Arabidopsis thaliana: one gene and its partners. The protein of the gene in region 1 interacts with the protein of each later gene in a pairwise test. Each region holds a gene or a part of one and is shown in the gene's direction. Other genes may lie near its edges. The genes, in order: DSS1(I), BRCA2(IV) and EMB2719.

The links.
Region 2: the proteins of DSS1(I) (region 1) and BRCA2(IV) interact in a two-hybrid assay, tested with the Arabidopsis thaliana proteins (one study listed by BioGRID).
Region 3: the proteins of DSS1(I) (region 1) and EMB2719 interact in a two-hybrid assay, tested with the Arabidopsis thaliana proteins (one study listed by BioGRID).

The regions. Positions count from the first base shown.
Region 1 is NC_003070.9:24,051,287-24,056,134, reverse strand, and holds DSS1(I) (deletion of SUV3 suppressor 1(I)), read left to right. Parts: upstream 1-2,226; 5' UTR 2,227-2,292; exon of another isoform or gene 2,293-2,382; 5' UTR 2,383-2,422; coding exon 2,423-2,516; intron 2,517-2,739; coding exon 2,740-2,862; intron 2,863-3,217; coding exon 3,218-3,348; 3' UTR 3,349-3,773; downstream 3,774-4,848. Other genes in the region: AT1G64760 (O-Glycosyl hydrolases family 17 protein), read left to right, coding at 1-275, 723-1,222, 1,305-1,915; TUA1 (alpha-1 tubulin), read right to left, coding at 3,839-4,154, 4,241-4,749, 4,822-4,848. UniProt on the Arabidopsis thaliana protein: Subunit of the 26S proteasome which plays a role in ubiquitin-dependent proteolysis.
Region 2 is NC_003075.7:3,698-12,282, reverse strand, and holds the start of BRCA2(IV) (BREAST CANCER 2 like 2A), read left to right. Parts: upstream 1-1,918; coding exon 1,919-2,072; intron 2,073-2,157; coding exon 2,158-2,301; intron 2,302-2,435; coding exon 2,436-2,597; intron 2,598-2,845; coding exon 2,846-3,820; intron 3,821-3,914; coding exon 3,915-4,039; intron 4,040-4,127; coding exon 4,128-4,254; coding exon of another isoform or gene 4,255-4,282; intron 4,283-4,335; coding exon 4,336-4,369; intron 4,370-4,448; coding exon of another isoform or gene 4,449-4,469; coding exon 4,470-4,571; intron 4,572-4,644; coding exon 4,645-4,830; intron 4,831-4,907; coding exon 4,908-4,989; intron 4,990-5,088; coding exon 5,089-5,139; intron 5,140-5,226; coding exon 5,227-5,308; intron 5,309-5,411; coding exon 5,412-5,523; intron 5,524-5,606; coding exon 5,607-5,678; intron 5,679-6,427; coding exon 6,428-6,626; intron 6,627-6,694; coding exon 6,695-6,877; intron 6,878-7,163; coding exon 7,164-7,306; coding exon of another isoform or gene 7,307-7,310; exon of another isoform or gene 7,311-7,381; coding exon 7,382-7,444; intron 7,445-7,533; and 11 more. Other genes in the region: SD3 (import inner membrane translocase subunit), read left to right, coding at 1-21, 104-152, 267-386, 491-649. UniProt on the Arabidopsis thaliana protein: Involved in double-strand break repair and/or homologous recombination by mediating RAD51- and DMC1-facilitated DNA repair. Plays an essential role in both somatic and meiotic homologous recombination.
Region 3 is NC_003070.9:7,000,156-7,006,601, reverse strand, and holds EMB2719 (PAM domain (PCI/PINT associated module) protein), read left to right. Parts: upstream 1-2,169; 5' UTR 2,170-2,291; intron 2,292-2,426; 5' UTR 2,427-2,447; coding exon 2,448-2,526; intron 2,527-2,619; coding exon 2,620-2,810; intron 2,811-3,001; coding exon 3,002-3,142; intron 3,143-3,231; coding exon 3,232-3,368; intron 3,369-3,469; coding exon 3,470-3,524; intron 3,525-3,612; coding exon 3,613-3,723; intron 3,724-4,090; coding exon 4,091-4,330; intron 4,331-4,680; coding exon 4,681-5,193; 3' UTR 5,194-5,515; downstream 5,516-6,446. Other genes in the region: AT1G20220 (Alba DNA/RNA-binding protein), read left to right, coding at 4-92, 223-297, 423-487, 575-649, 767-823, 931-987, 1,107-1,340, 1,421-1,512. UniProt on the Arabidopsis thaliana protein: Acts as a regulatory subunit of the 26 proteasome which is involved in the ATP-dependent degradation of ubiquitinated proteins.

The DNA.
Region 1 (4,848 bases):
TTGGTAAATGGGTTGGGTGTGAATTGGGGAACAATGGCTACACATAAGCTACCTCCAAAGACAGTGGTTCAGATGCTTAAAGACAATAACATCAACAAAGTTAAGCTTTTTGATGCGGACGAGACAACCATGGGTGCACTCGCTGGATCGGGTCTTGAAGTGATGGTCGCTATTCCCAATGATCAGCTTAAGGTTATGACTAGTTACGACCGAGCCAAAGATTGGGTTCGTAAGAATGTCACTCGTTATAACTTCGATGGTGGTGTCAATATCACGTGAGTTTGTCTCTCTTCCTCTCTGTTCTGTCTCAATGTTATTGTTATTGATTGGTTGTAGTGTTTGTCTAAACGTCAAAATTAACATTCTTTGTGTTTGTTTGTCGAAACCTCATAAACCCATGGTTGTTTAGTTTATGACATTGCCAAATGCATAACCATGAGTGAGTTATGTCTATAGACAAAATGTGTCTAGCTATATATGTTTGTTTCTGAAGATTGGATGTTTAGGGTTGATTTTCAATGTCTGGTGAAATCTGTGTTGTCTGATTATGAAATCAAATATCTTTTAACACTACTGTCAAATGCAGAACCTGTTTCCACTAAAATGTATTTATATCTATAAAAGTCAAATCTTTTAACAGTACTGTCAAAATGCAGAACATGTTTAGAGAAAAATGTGTTTACATGTCTCAGTGAAGCTAATCACTTGTGGATGTGTTTCAGGTTTGTAGCTGTTGGGAATGAGCCATTCCTCAAATCATACAATGGATCGTTCATAAACCTCACATTCCCTGCACTTGCGAACATTCAAAACGCTTTAAATGAAGCCGGACTAGGAAACTCTGTCAAAGCAACAGTCCCTTTAAACGCGGATGTATACGATTCACCAGCAAGCAATCCCGTTCCATCTGCAGGAAGATTCCGTCCCGATATCATCGGTCAAATGACTCAGATTGTTGACTTTCTTGGCAAGAACAATGCTCCCATCACAATTAACATCTACCCTTTCTTAAGTCTCTATGGGAATGATGATTTCCCACTCAACTACGCCTTCTTCGATGGTGCTGAACCGATAAACGACAACGGTATTGATTATACAAACGTTTTCGATGCCAATTTCGATACTTTGGTGTCGTCTTTGAAAGCTGTTGGTCACGGAGATATGCCAATAATCGTTGGAGAAGTTGGTTGGCCAACAGAGGGTGACAAACACGCTAATGCAGGTTGATATCTGACCTTCTTTAGATGGATTTTTATCCTTTATGAAGTGTTTTAGTTTTGATTTTGAAAACGGTTTTTTCACAGGCAGTGCTTACAGATTCTACAACGGGCTTTTACCGAGGCTTGGAACAAACAAAGGAACTCCATTGAGACCAACCTACATTGAGGTATACTTGTTCGGATTACTCGACGAGGATGCAAAAAGTATAGCACCGGGACCGTTCGAACGCCATTGGGGAATATTTAAATTCGACGGGCAACCAAAGTTTCCTATAGATCTTTCAGGTCAAGGACAGAGTAAGTTCTTGATTGGTGCACAAAACGTGCCGTATCTACCCAACAAGTGGTGTACGTTTAATCCAGAAGCCAAGGACTTGACAAAACTCGCGGCTAATATAGATTACGCCTGCACTTTCTCTGATTGCACGGCGCTTGGATACGGATCTTCTTGCAATACTCTTGATGCAAATGGAAACGCGTCGTATGCGTTTAACATGTTCTTTCAAGTGAAGAATCAAGATGAGAGTGCTTGCTATTTTCAAGGTTTGGCCACCATTACAACGCAGAATATATCTCAAGGACAATGCAATTTCCCTATTCAGATTGTGGCTTCCTCAGCCTCTTCTTTTTCTTGTTCGTCTTATTCTTTGGTTGTGTTGATCGTTTGGTTTCTGTTATCAGGGATGATGTTTTGAGGTTAGATTGAATTTGTTGAACTTAGTGAGGTTTTGTGAGCCTAATTGTTTTCTTACAGATATATATATTACAATGATTCTTTTGTCCATGTTCTTAGAAGTTGAATCCTAGATAAATCGGAATATCCAGATACTTGTTCTATCGATATTTTAATACAGTTTTACACTACAGTTTTATTTTACAAATTCATTAATGTTACAATTTCTTTTAGCAATTAAAAAATAAATAGAAAACCATCAAATTTTACAAATTCACAAAAAGGAAAACACGGTCGAACCGGTTCTATACAAAAAGAAAAAACCTTCCCTTTATTATTTGCTTCTTCTCTTAAGAAAAACAAAAGTTCGCTTACTCTCTCGTTAAAGCTCTCAGAGAGGTTAGGGTTTCATCATTATCAATTCCATGCTTTTGCAATAATAACTTGGAAAATTTTATCGAGTTTTCGTCTTCCTCTTCTTCTTCTTAGGTTATCTCGATCTGGTTGGTTCCTTTAACAATCTGTAACTATGGCGGCAGAACCGAAGGCAGCGACTGCTGAAGTAGTAAAGATGGATCTGTTTGAGGACGACGATGAGTTCGAGGAATTTGAAATTAACGAAGGTAAAATTTTTGTTGTTATTACTTGTTTCTTCTTCGATTTTTGAATCGATTCATCATCGGTTTTATAGTCTTAACGATGAAGCTACGATGCCATAGATATAAGAGCGATTTTCATTAGCAACTGATTGATAGATACAGGCAATGCTTTATATGGTTGAATTGAGAATTATTTGTATGAATTGTATCAGATTCTGATTTTAATAGATTTTGATTTGCAAGTTAGTTGATTCTTCAGATTTAACTAGTAGTTGTATTGAAAGGATTGATAAAGATGGACTAGTGTATGAGTTGAGTAGGTCTGATATGAAAACGAATCTGTTTGATGTCAATTTCAGGTGTGAGATAGGTTGATAGATCTTTTTTCATATAGTTCTAACAATGAAGCTATAGTCTCATACTTACTAAATGGATAAAAGAGCAGTTTTTTTCAGCAACTTATTGATGATTAGGTTTAGTCTTAATAGTCAACGCTTCATTTACTAAAGCCTAAAGGTTATTGAGGATTTGGGAATTATTTGAGGGCATTGAGTAGCCTAAAGGTTTAACAGATTTTGCTTTGTGATTTTACTAATAGTTTTATTGAAAGAATTGATAAAGAGGGTTTCTGTTTGTATGAGTTGTGTAGTTGGATGTGGAATGGATGTTTTTGCTGTCCTTTTACGGTCAAAGTAAATACTGATGGATCTTTTTATGTTGGGCAGATTGGTTGGAGAAAGAAGAAGTGAAGGAAGTTAGCCAGCAGTGGGAAGATGACTGGGATGATGATGATGTCAATGACGACTTCTCACGTCAGTTAAGGAAGGAGCTTGAGAATGGTACTGACAAGAAATAAGGTCGAAGATTGTGAAAGACAGGTCTTCACATTTAGGAAATCTTGGTTTTCTTTTATGATCTGGAACTTTGTTTGTACTGCATCCTTTGGTTTATGTTATCGGTTCTGCTTTTCCTTTGCACATTTTACTATTCCCTGGATGGAAATTTCTTATCTTTGAAGATGATAAATTTAAACTGGTAAGATCATCATCTTCTCTCAACATCCATTGCGGTGTGTTCCGTATGGACATGGATTAGTTACTAACTTACTATGTACATTTTCTTACAAGGATCTTTATTAGAGCGTAAACGGTATTTGAAATGCCAAAAATCCTTCAAACTATGTATTGAGATGCACTAGAAATGCAATCCTTTAGTAAACACAAATGAGAAATAAAAGGGGAGAGACCCGTAAACATCACAAAATAACTGTAGAGATCACATTCACAAAGACATAATTACTGTACTTCACAAGAAAGAAACAAGGGAACACACACTCTTGTGTCTTTCTAATACTCATCGCCTTCTTCGTCGTCGTCCTCCGCTCCTTCTCCACCAACTTCCTCATAATCTTTCTCGAGGGCAGCAAGATCCTCACGAGCCTCAGAGAACTCTCCTTCTTCCATACCCTCTCCTACATACCAATGGACAAAGGCTCTTTTGGAGTACATGAGATCAAACTTATGGTCTATACGTGAGAACACTTCAGCAACTGCAGTATTATTGCTGATCATGCAAACCGCTCGTTGAACCTTAGCCAGGTCACCACCTGGAACAACGGAAGGCGGCTGGTAGTTTATCCCGCACTTGAATCCAGTTGGGCACCTAATTTTAACATGACCAAAGATTTGAAATGTGTAGTAGAAGGAGACTTAAGAGAGAAAGAAACACTAGTAGTGTGAGCTCTTTACCAGTCAACAAACTGAATTGTTCGTTTGGCTTTGATGGCAGCAACGGCTGTATTGACATCCTTGGGCACAACGTCACCACGATACATCAAACAGCAAGCCATGTACTTGCCATGCCTAGGGTCACATTTAGCCATCATATTGGAGGGTTCAAAGACGGAAGTCGTGATCTCAGGGACCGAAAACTGCTCATGGTAGGCCTTTGCAGATGAAATCACAGGTGCATAAGAGGAGAGCATGAAGTGGATCCGAGGGTAAGGTACAAGGTTGGTCTGGAACTCGGTGATGTCCACATTGATGGCACCGTCAAATCTTAGAGAAGTTGTAAGCGAAGAGATGGTTTGGGAGATCAAGCGGTTCAAATTGGAGTATGTAGGCCTCTCAATGTCTAAAGATCTCCTGCAGATATCGTATATGGCTTCATTGTCCAAAAGAACAACAACATCTGTGTGTTCGAGAAGAGAATGAGTCGAGAGAACACTGTTATACGGCTCCACAACTGCTGTAGAAACCTGAGACCAAGAAAAGAGTTTGAACATTTTATCTTTCTGCAGTGAAGAGTTTAAGTATCTGTGGAAGGTTACCTGAGGAGAAGGGTAGATGGTGAAACC
Region 2 (8,585 bases), on another chromosome or scaffold:
GCTCATTTTTCAACCAAAAGAGTGAGGCTTCAGAAATCTAATTTGATTTATCTGCTCAGACACTTGGATTTGAGTAATCTAAAGACACCATTATGTATTCTAGGTACAAGGTCTTTGACAAAGCCTTGAAGAGAATTCAAGATGATGGTCAGGTAATTAGAAACTAACTCTACAGATTGATCATAGCGGAGGGGTGGTGTATGAAACAAAAGCATCTGTTTATAAAATGAAACAATTTCTGTGACTGTGATTGTCTTGTTAACTAGGTGAGGGTTAGGATTGGATCCCCCATCAAAGGCTATGGACAAGAAACTAGAAACCGAGCTGCTCGTCAACGTATACCCAACAGAGTATTTACAGATGAAGACGGAGTGGAGCATGTTGAGGTATTTCATTGTAGAACCTCTATTGCGCTTGGATTCACATTCTTGCTATATAAATTGTCTAGAGTTTTGCAGGTTTAACATGATCAAAATTGAATATGCTTCAGGTAAACTTCTACATCCGTGGGCCTCAAGGAGCAGGGAAAGTGTACACGGAGATGTTTAAAGACAAGGCAGAGAAGGAATGGAAATACACGTACCTGATCGTAGAGATTTTAACACCTTCCCCAGCCAAATTGATGCTGGAGTCTTATTTGCCTGCCTAAAGCACTCGTATTTATGACTCAGCAGATCCGGAAAACATTCAGAAACGGCTTAGATTGTTTTAGTTGGGGTGTTGGAGAAAAGAGAGAGAATTGTGTTACACATGAGCTGTAGGAATGACTTCTTATCAAGCAACTGTTTGCTAATTGAAAAACAAGTCTAAACTGTGTTTATGATCCTCTTGGGGATGTCTAGGATTTTGAACCGAATTCAAGTTTGAGGCTTGATAATATTTTTATGCGTAAACATGAAACAGAGACATGGAGAATGCATATATCATGAAGCATCAAGTATACAATAGAGGCAATCATGGATCAAACGGTGTTTATGGTATCAGTAAGACAGCGGAGAATGCAACCGGGACCAACTCTCTCTCTGAGTTTCCCCGAGCCATCAAGGCTACAAACATCTCGACTACAAGGGCCAATCAAATTACATAATCACGGAAAAAACAAGGATAGATACAAGCAAACCTAACACTCGAGCAATAATTTGAGTAATAGAAACAAGAAACCAGAAATCGAAACGAAACGGAACGAAACACAAGATTTCCTAATTAATCTTGTGTTTAATTAAGAAAAGAAAACACAAAAAAGTTGAAAGGTTTAGTGGTGCATCCACGTAGCAAGACATTTTAGGTGTACGTCGACCATATTGTTGGCCGTTTATAGAGCATCATCCACTCTCCTCGACGAGCAAGATCATGCCGCCTCTGGATTCTTCTCATTCATCGGTGTTCCTGCGATCCCCTCCGTAGCACCCTCCGCCTCCTCAGCGCCTTCCCCGTGTAAATTACCGTTCTGCATGTTTAGAAATTTGACGTGGAAATTGTTGCAATGTAACTTTCTGTGATACTTGGCTATTGTTGCAATGTAATTTTCATTGAAGTCAGTCACCAATGACCATTGAACAGATGTTTTAAAATGTCCACGTAAGCAATTGTTGTTTGGAACGATTTTCGGTTAGCATTCGTGCCTTTTTTACCTCAATAAAAGGCCGTGGCATTAACTCACTTGTCTTGAGACGTTATGTCGTTAAAACCAAGCCCAAAGTTAATTTCGGCCCAAATCGTTTTCAACTTTCCCGCCGTCTTTTAACTTTTTAGATTTTTGGTGATGGTTTTGGGGGGAAAGAAAACAGAAAATATAAAAATAAAATTTCCGCACTCCCGACTCTTGGTGTGGTAGGCAATTCTGAATCGCGAGGTTTAGTTCTCCGGCTGAATCAGAGAACGACGAGTCGGAAAAATTCGAAACTCTAGAACTGAATAAATGTCGACGTGGCAATTATTTCCCGATTCCAGCGGCGATGGTTTCCGGTGGGAAGTCGCTGGCCGGATTCTTCAGTCCGTCTCGGATTCTACGCCAACCAAGGCGCTCGAATCGACAGCTCCTCTACCTTCTATGGCCGATCTCTTGCTCCAAGGTGATTCTTCGTTTCTTCCTTTTTTTGTCGAATCGTGTTTGTCATGTGACTCAAAGGAGATTGAATTATTATTTGATGCTTCAAGGATGCTCGAAGCTTATAGCACGGGAAGAAGCGATGCCTGGGGAAATCCCAATGTTCAGGACTGGGCTAGGGAAGTCTGTAGTTCTTAAAGAGTCTTCGATTGCTAAAGCCAAATCCATTTTAGCAGAGAAGGTTACTTACTCAGGTACTTTATGTGACAGTATTGAATTCCCTTGACTAGTCATTTGTTTCTGAATTCCCTTGAATTGTTACTTAATGTTGGTGAAAATGGTTTCCTGAAAATCTTTTGAATGTTCCATGTTCTTGGCTACACTTTAGATTTGCGGAACACAAATTGCTCAATTCCCCAAATGAGACAAGTGGATACAGCTGAAACTTTGCCAATGTTCAGGACGGCCTCGGGGAAATCTGTCCCTTTGAAAGAGTCTTCAATTGCCAAAGCTATGTCTATTCTAGGAAGTGATAAGATTATTGACTCAGGTGTGTTCTTATCTCCTCTTTTTTAAAGTCTTATTTCCAGTATAGCTGTGTGCGCGTTTACATATGAACTTGTTCTTTGTGCTGCTACTCCGTTCAACTTCCAGGTTCTTGAGTTTGGTTGTTATCAGATGAAATGATGAATAGTGAAGAACTAATCAACACACATCTTACTTCGTTTAGAGGATGAATATTAGAAGTGACATTTTTTCATAGTTTATTTGTTAATAAGATTCTTTTTGATTGTGTAGACAACGTTCTTCCCAGGGAGAGTGGATTTGGAGTTTCCAACAGTCTTTTTCAGACAGCTTCCAACAAAAAGGTTAATGTATCTTCTGCCGGTTTAGCAAGGGCCAAGGCATTGTTAGGACTAGAAGAAGATGATTTGAATGGATTTAACCATGTGAACCAGTCGTCTTCTTCCTCCCAGCAACATGGGTGGTCCGGATTAAAAACTCATGAGGAGTTTGATGCTACAGTAGTTAAGCATCATTCAGGAACTCCAGGACAATATGAGGATTATGTATCTGGGAAGAGATCTGAAGTCTTAAATCCATCTTTAAAGGTGCCTCCAACAAAGTTTCAGACTGCTGGTGGAAAATCATTGTCAGTGTCAGCTGAGGCGTTAAAACGTGCCAGAAACCTTCTTGGTGACCCTGAATTAGGGTCTTTCTTTGATGATGTAGCTGGAGGTGATCAATTTTTTACACCAGAGAAAGATGAAAGGTTAAGTGATATTGCTATAAACAATGGAAGTGCCAACAGAGGTTATATTGCTCATGAAGAAAAGACAAGCAACAAACATACGCCAAATAGTTTTGTATCTCCTCTTTGGTCATCTTCAAAGCAATTTAGTTCAGTCAACTTGGAGAACCTAGCTTCAGGGGGTAATTTGATCAAGAAATTTGATGCGGCTGTTGATGAGACCGATTGTGCTCTGAATGCTACACATGGACTATCAAATAACAGGTCTTTGGCATCAGATATGGCAGTGAATAATTCCAAGGTAAACGGTTTCATTCCAAGAGGTAGGCAACCTGGAAGGCCTGCTGATCAGCCACTTGTTGATATAACAAATCGCAGAGATACAGCTTATGCATACAATAAACAAGACAGTACCCAAAAGAAAAGGCTGGGAAAGACAGTCTCCGTTTCTCCTTTCAAAAGGCCAAGGATTTCATCCTTTAAAACTCCTTCAAAGAAACATGCTCTGCAAGCTTCAAGTGGTAATATATATGATTAATTTTTTTAAGAATTTTTTATGTTAATCTAATTGGTTGGTTCTCAGGTTTATAGTTTTGGTGTCCTGTCTATTATCAGGTTTGTCTGTTGTATCGTGTGATACACTTACTTCCAAAAAGGTGCTTTCTACAAGGTATCCAGAAAAGTCTCCAAGAGTATATATCAAGGACTTTTTTGGAATGCATCCAACAGCTACGACCAGGGTAAATTCTTTTTGTCCCTTTCAACTGTTCCTGCGTTACATAGCTTTTTTCTTCATTCACTCAAACACACTTACGAGGTGGTTTTTAGATGGATTATGTGCCAGACCATGTCAGAAGAATCAAATCAAGTAATGCAGATAAATATGTATTCTGTGATGAGTCTTCTTCAAACAAGGTTGGAGCTGAAACTTTTCTTCAAATGTTGGCTGAGTCTGGTGCTTCCTTACAACATGCATCCAGAAAGTACTTTCTCTGTCCCTTGAAATGTTAACCGTGTTATTTGTTTATTATATCAGAAAAAGTGTGTGACCGTTCTTTTGAAGCTTGCATGTGATTGTCACTCTATTAGATAGACAGTGAGTATTGATGTCTATATCTATTAACTTATCCATCACTACGTATGCACTAGGTGGGTCACTAATCACTATAGGTGGATAGTCTGGAAACTTGCATGCTACGACATATACTACCCAGCCAAATGCAGAGGAAACTTTCTGACAATCACCAATGTTCTTGAGGAACTAAAATACAGGTTTCCCAGTCTCACAACACAACTCGTTACTTAAACTCATGCAAAGTCTAACATGGTTAATCTTTCTTAATAGATATGAGAGAGAGGTCAATCATGGTCATTGCTCTGCAATCAAGAGGATTCTGAGTGGTGATGCTCCAGCTTCTTCAATGATGGTGCTCTGCATATCAGCTATTAATCCAAAGACCGATAATGATTCTCAGGAAGCACATTGTTCTGATAGTTGCAGCAATGTGAAAGTAGAACTCACTGATGGGTGGTATGAAATTGCTACTGCTATTCTGTTACCTGTTTTCTTGACTCATTTCCATATGATTTTTTTTAAAAAAATCACAGGTACTCGATGAATGCTGCTCTGGATGTCGTACTAACAAAGCAGCTGAATGCTGGCAAATTGTTTGTCGGGCAGAAGCTTCGAGTAAGTTATTTTCATGCAAGATATACTTTGTTTTGCAACACAGATTTTGGTTAGATCACTGACTTGCAGCATGCTTACGTTCTTATCTCTTATCTGAAGATCCTCGGGGCAGGACTTTCTGGCTGGGCTACCCCAACATCACCACTTGAGGTTTCCTAGACTTTGCATTTTATAAGATTTTCTGATATCTTCTCAGGTTGGTTTGTTCATAAGAGTTTCATTCAACCAAACTTTCAGGCAGTGATTTCAAGTACAATCTGTTTGTTGTTGAATATTAATGGGACATACAGAGCTCACTGGGCGGACCGACTAGGCTTCTGTAAGTAGCTTTATGCTGTGGGCCTCACTACATCATCTGAGTTCTTATTGCTTTCATATTGTTATCTTTCCATTGATCGTTTATAATCTCTTCCTTCCTCAAGGTAAAGAAATTGGTGTCCCTCTGGCTTTAAATTGTATCAAGTGCAATGGGGGTCCAGTGCCTAAAACGCTAGCTGGCATCAAACGAATATACCCCATCCTATACAAGGAAAGGTCAATATAAATGTGTGCCTGTTAATGCATTTTGGTCTTCTTTATACTTCTCGCAAAGCATTATATTTTCTTGATGTATACAGGTTAGGTGAAAAGAAGTCAATAGTTCGATCAGAGAGAATAGAAAGTAGAATTATACAGCTGCATAATCAGAGGCAAGTTTCCTTATAACTGTAGAGAGCAATTTTTAGTAACATTGATGTGATCAATTTAGCACATGCATCTCTTTCTAAGAAGTGTCAGATTAACTCATCAAAGCTAGAGACATTTTGTTACATACAACAATTTGGTGGCGTCACCAAGTTGCAGCCTTGAACCATTTGCTCTTTTCATTTTAAATCCTAACATGTTATAGAGCATATAATTATAATTATCATGCGCAAATCGGCATGTATCAATTTAGTTATATTTATCATGTGCAATTGTGCATGTATCAGTTTACATACATTATATTATCATGCAGATTATGGGAATCTTAGCGGTTCAAACGTCTTAAAGTACTGCATAACTACATATAGTTTGACTATACATAACTACTTATTTATGGCTATGATCGTAAATTTTAGTATAAATGCAATATTCACTGTTAGAATACGATATTCAAATTCGTTTTCAGAATTCAGAGAACAAAAAGTAGATAAAGTGACCTTGGTTTATGTTGTTTTGGTCAAATTTATCGTTTATAAGTTTGCTAGCTAATGTTATACTATTTGCTAACATATAATTAAATGTTGAGTGCTAATCTCGAATTTTTTATTAGAAAAGACAATCTTTGTATTTATTAGAAAAGCTTCTGGCCTTCTGATTATGGATGGTTTTCCCAACAAAAGAGCCAAAGATTGCAGTTCGTCATGGTTTATTCTCATTCATACTTGCCTTTTTTTTTTCTTTCTATTTTCCGTAGGCGCTCAGCTCTTGTTGAGGGTATTATGTGTGAGTACCAGAGAGGAATTAATGGTGTTCACAGCCAGAACGACACTGACAGCGAAGAAGGAGCCAAGATCTTTAAGCTGTTAGAGACGGCTGCTGAACCTGAATTTCTTATGGCAGAAATGAGCCCAGAGCAGTTGAGATCTTTCACTACATATAAAGCAAAATTTGAGGTAGAATAGTAATTTCCTTTTCTTGATATATTGATTACAGTAATTAACTGCTTCAATCTGAACCTCAGGCAGCCCAGCAAATGCGGAAGGAAAAATCAGTGGCAGAAACTCTGGAAGACGCTGGTTTAGGTGAAAGGAACGTCACCCCGTTCATGAGGATTAGGCTTGTTGGCCTGACGAGCTTAAGTTATGAAGGAGAGCACAATCCAAAAGAAGGCATTGTAACAATCTGGGATCCCACGGAGAGACAGGTACATTCAAATGCCTAAATCTGAATGTTTCATGCACAATTTAAAACAAGGCATTTTTCTAATGGCTAATAAGTTTACACGGACCTTATCCATATGAGCTTATATGGAACGGGGAGTTCCAAATATAAGCTTTTCAGAGTTGCTGTGGACCTCGAATGGACTGAAATGCATATCAAAGAATCGTTACCATCACTGTACTGTTGCATTAAGAGCATCATCGATTAGCTTGTTCAACTTTTTTCTTGTAGATTCTTAAAACAGTTATCATTGTCTACTACTGTGACAGAGAACCGAGCTGACAGAGGGGAAAATATACATGATGAAAGGGCTAGTACCAATAAACTCAGATTCAGAAATACTTTACTTACATGCGAGAGGGTCAAGCTCAAGATGGCAGCCTTTGTCTCCTAAAGATTCTGAAAATTTTCAGTAAGTGGTTTTCTTTAGTAGACACACTGGAATCTATCTCATTAATTTGTTCAATTTCCCTGATGATGTTTTCAGGCCCTTTTTCAACCCTCGTAAACCAATCTCTTTGTCAAATCTTGGTGAAATTCCTCTTTCAAGGTTAATCTCAGTAGTCCAAGCTTTTTATGAAACACTCTTTACCGCACTTTGCTAATCTATACCCTGTCATCTCTAATTATGTCCTTCAGTGAATTTGATATCGCTGCGTACGTTGTATATGTTGGAAATGCATACACGGATGTTCTACAAAAGAAGCAGTGGGTGTTTGTGACAGATGGATCCGCACAACATTCAGGGGAAATCTCAAACAGTCTTCTTGCTATAAGCTTCAGCACCTCATTCATGGATGATAGCTCTGTTTCCCACATCAGCCATAATTTGGTTGGATCCGTGGTATGTACAAATTCTAATCTTTGTCTAGTTTTACACAGAGAGAATATGCACCAAGAGATTAAATTTTGAAAAATATATGCTTGTTATGGGTCTTAATTTTTGGCAGGTCGGATTTTGCAATCTAATTAAAAGAGCAAAGGATGTGACAAACGAAATTTGGGTTGCTGAGGCAGCAGAGAACTCAGTCTACTTCATAAACGCAGAAGCTGCCTACTCTTCTCACCTCAAAACCAGCAGTGCCCATATCCAAACATGGGCTAAGCTCTCTTCTTCCAAATCCGTTCGTTCTCGTCGACTTCCTCTTTCTATAATTATTCGGTTCAAAAAGATTGGTCTTTTGTATTAAGCCTTCTTGGTTTGCTCAATTTTCAGGTCATTCATGAACTTCGGCAAAGAGTCTTATCTATAATCGGTGCTTGTAAATCACCTTCATGCTGAAGATAAATCATACCCCACCTCTTCTCTTAAGTTTTGTTTATAAGTTATCTAACCCTCTGCTGATTGTATCTATTAAAGCCCATTTTGCTACATCAATTTCTGAAATTTGAAATGTATGATCTACTCTCATTGATCAAGTAACTTTGAATTATTTTGTGTTGTAAACATATCTAAAGGTTTGATGAAGTTGCATTAAGAAATAACATTTATGCTATATATGATGCTACAACTTATCAGGGGAAACAATGGTTATGTAGTTTTTGTCTACTCGTTAGATATAATTATGTTTAGAATTCGAAGATGAATGTTATCAAAGAAAAAAGGATTTGACATTGTCAAGTCTACAACTCCTTATGAAAGAGCAACATTGTGTTATTTTTTTTTTCTATCAGGGAAACTTCCTATGACC
Region 3 (6,446 bases), about 17 Mb from region 1:
CAGAGAAGGATTCCTGGTCTTCATCAGATCACATCTATTGGATCAACGGACATTACAGATACCTGGGAACCTACAGAGGAAGGCCTTCAAACGTATGTGGTCACTAGACTTTAGTATCAAGTTTATTGTTTTAAGTGTACCGGAACACATGTAACCATGTTGTATTCTTAATTTTGTTACTTTGACCTGTTATTTATTAAAACTCATCTTTTTCTCCTGAAGAATTGAGACCACGAGGCATGTGTCGATGATAACCATAACACTTTCCAAGGAGCAGTTGAACACATCCTCAGTTGGGTGAGTTTCTAGGACTGGTTGTTTTGCTATTTCTCGTCTATTCTCTTATTGGGGATTTTGTTGTTTTGTGTCTAGAGAGGTACATTGTCTCCAATGCTAATATATCTTATTAAATAATGCTATAGGTACCAGTGTCCGATTCCTATTGAGATGGTGAAGCCATTGGCTGAGATTGACTACGAAGGGCAAGGTATTTTAGAGTCTCACTCTTAATGACGTTTTTAAGCTCCCTGCCCTGCTGTCTTTTTTAAGTTTTTAAATTATCTCTTTCTTGTAGACGGATCTCCTAGAGGCAGAGGAGGAAGAAGAGGTAGAGGAGGAAGAGGAAGGGGAAGGGGAAGAGGTGGTAGAGGTAGGATTACTTTAGAAATTGTTTATACAGTGTCGTAGTTTCGTTGTAAGCTTTTGCATGTGATTTGTGGATAAGCGTTTGAGTGGACTGTGCTAATTCCTTTTTTCGACTTATCAGGAAATGGACCTGCGAATGTTGAGTATGATGATGGAGGAAGGGGAAGAGGTGGCAGAGGTAGGATATCTTTAGCCAAATCGTATTTGAGTATAGATTTTTGCATATGATTTGTGGATAAGGGTTTGAATGTGTTGTGCTATTTCTTTTTTTGTTTGATTTACCAGGAAACGGATATGTGAACAATGAGTATGATGATGGAGGAAGGGGAAGAGGCGGCAGAGGTAGAATTGCTTTAGAATATTTCTTTCCAAATCTTAGTTTTACCTTTTAACATATTTGCATGTGATCGGCGGACAAGTGTTTGATTGGCTTGTGCTATTTCTTCTTTCGGATTTGCCAGGAAGTGGATATGTGAACAATGAGTATAATGATGGAGGTATGGAGCAGGACCGGTCATATGGCAGAGGACGCGGGCGTGGGAGAGGAGGTGGACGTGGTGGTCGAGGAAGAGGAGGTTACAATGGCCCCCCACCACCTTACTATGAAGCTCAACAAGATGGAGGAGACTATGGATACAACAATGTTGCTCCTCCAGCAGACCATGGATATGATGGTCCTCCGCCTCAGGGACGTGGTACGTTGATGATTTTGTTACACTAATGTTTTCTCATTAAATAATGATGAGTTGTAAATGTTTAAAAATTGTTGGAACAGGACGTGGCCGTGGAAGGGGAGGTCGTGGAAGAGGAGGAGGCCGTGGTGGATTCAACAGATCAAATGGAGCACCTATCCAGGCTGCTGCATGAGCGACCAGGGTCATTGAATGAAGTTGGATCTTTCTTACATTCTCATGTTTTTGTCTCTGTTCTTCAAAGCAACTTGTTGCCGTAGAATAATCTTTCGTTCATGTCGCTTTAGGTTATATATATCCTCATTTATTTTATCATGGATCTTGGATTTTCAAGTTTTTATTCCTTCAAGAGTTTTCTAGTTTTGTCTCTTTTTTGAGTTTTGGATATTTGTTTGACTCCAATTACATTCGTCGGCGTATTGACACTAACAAGTAAACAACCCCCTTTGGCATTGCCTTTTTCCATTGGTTCGTATATCAGTTGATTATATATTCTAACAACATAAAAAGATAACAAGAAAAAATAATGAATAATAAAATTGTAATTCCAAGTTCCAACGTGTTTTGAGACAAAAAGAAATTAACCCAACTTGCGCTGGTTGTGTTTTGGGCTATTCGAAGAAAGCGTACGAAAATAAGTGAGAGAGGTCCAAACAAAACTAGTAACCAAAAAGTTAATCGCCGTTGCCGGGGATCGAACCCGGGCCACCCGCGTGACAGGCGGGAATACTTACCACTATACTACAACGACATTTGTTGCTCAATCGTAATGTAGAAGATATAAATACTAATATGGAAAAAAGCTGTCTTGAACAAAAAGAAATATACTTTTTTTGTTGTGTCCAAAAAAAGGAAAATACTTAGGAAAGAAAAGAGTCTCAGCAGCATCAGCTCGTCCTTAAATCTGATCCATCATCGTCACTTTCTCCCGGCGAATTCCGTTTTATCGATTTAGTAAGCTCTCTGTCTTTATCTCTCCGTCTTTCTCAGTCAACAAATTGGTTGAAACTTCAATCGGTTCCTTGAAATCTCACCGGCTTAGTTGCATACTTCTGCAAAAACCCTAACCTTGTTTTTGTCTTTGTGAAGAGTAACGAGATTTGTGCAAAGATGACTCAGGACGTGGAGATGAAAGATAACAACACCCCTTCTCAATCGATTATCTCTTCTTCTACCTCTACTATGCAGAGTAAATCTCGATCTGAATGCTTTAATTCTCGAACTGTTTTCATAATTGCTAAGTTTCTTCTGGGTTTTGACGCTTTGTTTCTTTGTTTCCCAGATTTGAAGGAGATTGCAGCACTCATCGATACTGGGTCTTACACGAAGGAGGTTCGTCGTATTGCTCGTGCTGTGCGTCTCACTATAGGGCTTAGGCAGAAACTCACCGGCTCTGTGCTCTCTTCCTTCCTGGATTTTGCTTTGGTTCCAGGATCCGAAGCTCACTCTCGCCTCTCTTCCTTTGTTCCTAAGGTATTTGTGGGTTTTACTTCTTCACTTTGATGTTTCAGAATTCTCAACTTGGTTGTTCCTTTTAGCATCTGGCTTTAGGTTGTTTAGATTCGTGTTATGGTTGTTATACTTTCTTTTGATGTTGTGAATGGCAAGTTATCTAACATACAACTGGCTTAGAGACTGAAATATTGGAACTTTTAATGGTTTAGGGTGATGAACATGACATGGAAGTTGATACTGCCTCATCGGCCACACAAGCTGCTCCTTCTAAGCATCTACCTGCAGAGCTCGAGATCTACTGCTACTTCATTGTTCTTCTTTTTCTGATTGATCAGAAGAAGTACAACGAGGTAACTACTGCTGTATCTTTGTGTTTTGTCATAAGTTACTTTTCTGTTGTGATTTTAATTTTAATGAGTTGCTTTTAATCATCTCTTAGGCTAAAGCTTGTTCTTCAGCAAGCATTGCTCGTCTCAAGAACGTCAACCGAAGGACCATTGATGTGATAGCATCAAGACTCTACTTTTACTATTCTTTGAGTTATGAGCAAACCGGTGATCTTGCTGAAATTCGCGGGTTAGTAGCTCAAAGACTGTTTTAGTTTTGTACTTTGTCTTACACCTCATATTAATCAGTAGCTCAATAGTTAATAATCTGGTCATTTTTTCTACCTGCAGTACTCTTCTTGCGTTGCATCATTCTGCAACGCTAAGACACGATGAGCTGGGTCAGGTATGTCTTTGTTTAGCTCATTCAGTCGGCATTCATTATTTTGAAACTGTTACTTGCTTCTTATTCAAATTTATCATGTTGAATGCAGGAAACCCTTCTGAACCTGTTGCTACGTAACTATTTGCATTACAACCTCTATGATCAGGCAGAGAAGCTAAGATCAAAGGCACCTCGCTTTGAGGCTCATTCAAACCAACAGGTAGCTCTTGGCTATTCCTTCATACTCTAAGTTTTCTCGGTTCTCTAGATTCTATATTTGCATGAAAACTCCAATGCCACTTCTGCAATCTTTCCAGAGAATTATTTTTTCTATTCGCTATAGCATTTTCCATCTAGGAGGCTCTTGTGTTTTCTTTTCAATCACTAATTATTTGCCGAACTTACTTGAAGTGTCCATTTTGCCTGTCCTTTTCATACTTCTGACACCACCTCTTACCATTACCATCGATCTACCTTGTGTTTTTCTTTGCTACATATGAATTTTGTTCTTTTTTTAACCCTTCAATTGTTACTGTTTCAAAAGAATAAACAGCAAGATGACTTGTCTAAAACATTATACTTTGCAGTTTTGTAGGTACCTTTTCTATCTCGGGAAGATTCGTACTATTCAGCTCGAATATACGGACGCAAAAGAGAGCCTTCTTCAGGCGGCCAGGAAAGCCCCTATAGCAGCTTTGGGCTTCAGGATCCAATGCAATAAATGGGCAATTCTGGTTCGTCTACTGCTGGGTGAGATACCAGAGCGTTCTATCTTCACTCAAAAGGGTATGGAGAAGGCCCTCAGACCCTACTTCGAGCTAACAAATGTGAGTCCACTTTCATAATCTTGCTGCTGTGACATGTATTCATTAATTTATGAGCGGATAACTAAACTGGTATTAGTATGTGGTCACTTGTGATCTTGCTACTTCACTTCTGATTTTAAACCGGTTCCTACTTTTCACTTACTGGCCTATACACCTCTTCTGTTAAAATCTCTCTGTGGTCACTTGAAACACAATTTTGTTGCTGCTGTTGTTTTCTGCTCCTTCGAATTATATTGAACATGAATTTCTGGCTGTTTACTGTTGCTTTTTAGAGATATATGATGCAACTGGATAGTTGATACTGATTTTGATCTGAGGCTTACTATTAAAGCTCTGTTTTGATTTTACAGGCGGTTAGGATTGGGGACTTGGAGTTGTTTAGGACAGTCCAGGAGAAGTTCTTGGACACATTTGCTCAAGACAGAACGCACAATCTCATCGTGCGACTCCGCCACAATGTCATCAGGACTGGACTGCGGAACATAAGTATCTCCTACTCAAGAATCTCTTTACCCGATGTTGCCAAAAAGCTGAGGCTCAACTCTGAAAACCCTGTGGCTGATGCGGAAAGCATCGTGGCAAAGGCCATACGCGACGGAGCTATTGATGCTACAATCGATCACAAAAACGGATGCATGGTCTCCAAAGAAACTGGGGACATCTACTCGACGAATGAGCCACAAACTGCGTTCAACTCAAGAATTGCTTTCTGCCTCAACATGCATAACGAAGCTGTCAGAGCATTGAGGTTTCCTCCTAACACTCACAAGGAGAAAGAAAGCGATGAGAAGAGGAGAGAGAGGAAGCAACAGGAAGAAGAGCTTGCTAAGCATATGGCTGAGGAAGACGATGATGATTTTTAGACAAAGGTCATCTATTTCTTATAAGAGTTGACTCTCCATCTGTCTCACTTTTTTTATGTTCACAAGTTTACTTGGTACTCTTCTCATCGTCTCTAAGTGTTTCTTTATTGAGGATTTTTATCCTCAGGAACCTTTTTATTACTCTGGTTTCACTTTAGGAAAAGATATTTATCTTGTTGGTTTCAGAAGATCAAATTCAACTTCGTTTAATTGTGTTTGGGAGATTTTCGCATTTTAAGAATTGAACACTTGTAGTTATAGCTAGCTGTATTAGGTGGGTCATTATTAGAAATTGACCATGTGAAATGCTATCATCTCCAGGCGATGCATACCATTAAAATCCACATTCATAATTTACATTAAATGATAGATAAGCAGTCATAAATATCTAAAGAATGAAAACAGGACATGTGTATTGACCATTATGTGTATTGATACATTAGTCTATCTCTGCCAAACTAGGTCTCATTTTCTTGAATAAAACAATCTCATGTTATGCTTTTAATTATAGGTGTTTCTGGTTCGATTCATTAACTTCTTAATAATGACAAAAATCTGTAGAATAATACCCGGGCTCTTTGATAGCTACAACTGCCAACTATTTAATCCATACAATCAAAATGTAATTTTCATAATTGTAGATTTGTAATGGGTCAATATATTCTTACACTCTAATCATATCCAAACAAGCTCCTCAATTCCTTAATCTTGTTGTATCCAGTATCCATATTTTGTTTTCTTACTGCGGAAGTTACTTGGTAGTGTAGTCTGGATTTCGGATTGCAGACTTTGCAGTCCACGATTTTTCATATGTTGGTGACAACGAACAAGTGTTAAGTTGACGGAAGTGTTCGTAACAAACGACGTCGTGACGGTGATCTTCATCAACTTTGATTGGAAATCAAGTTTTGAGGGACAATTAACCCAAAAAAATAATCATAATGATAATGAAAGAGATTTGGCGTGTTGCTAATAATGTAGGACAAGTGAGCATGTGAGAGTCTGTGACCGATGAACCTGCTCAGACCAACCTGCACATGATTGTATCACAAACAAAAAACTCTCATTTGTCTTTCTTTCGTCTTACTTTATTCATTTTAAGCAAAAATTAAATATCCACCGCGTTGCACAAGAAATCATTTACCCATATGATTATTCTCTTAGTTTTGAATTTTTGATGACCATGCTGATTTAAAATTTGCAATCTTACAATAACTTTAACTTATGTATAAAAAAAAATGCTGCATCAACCA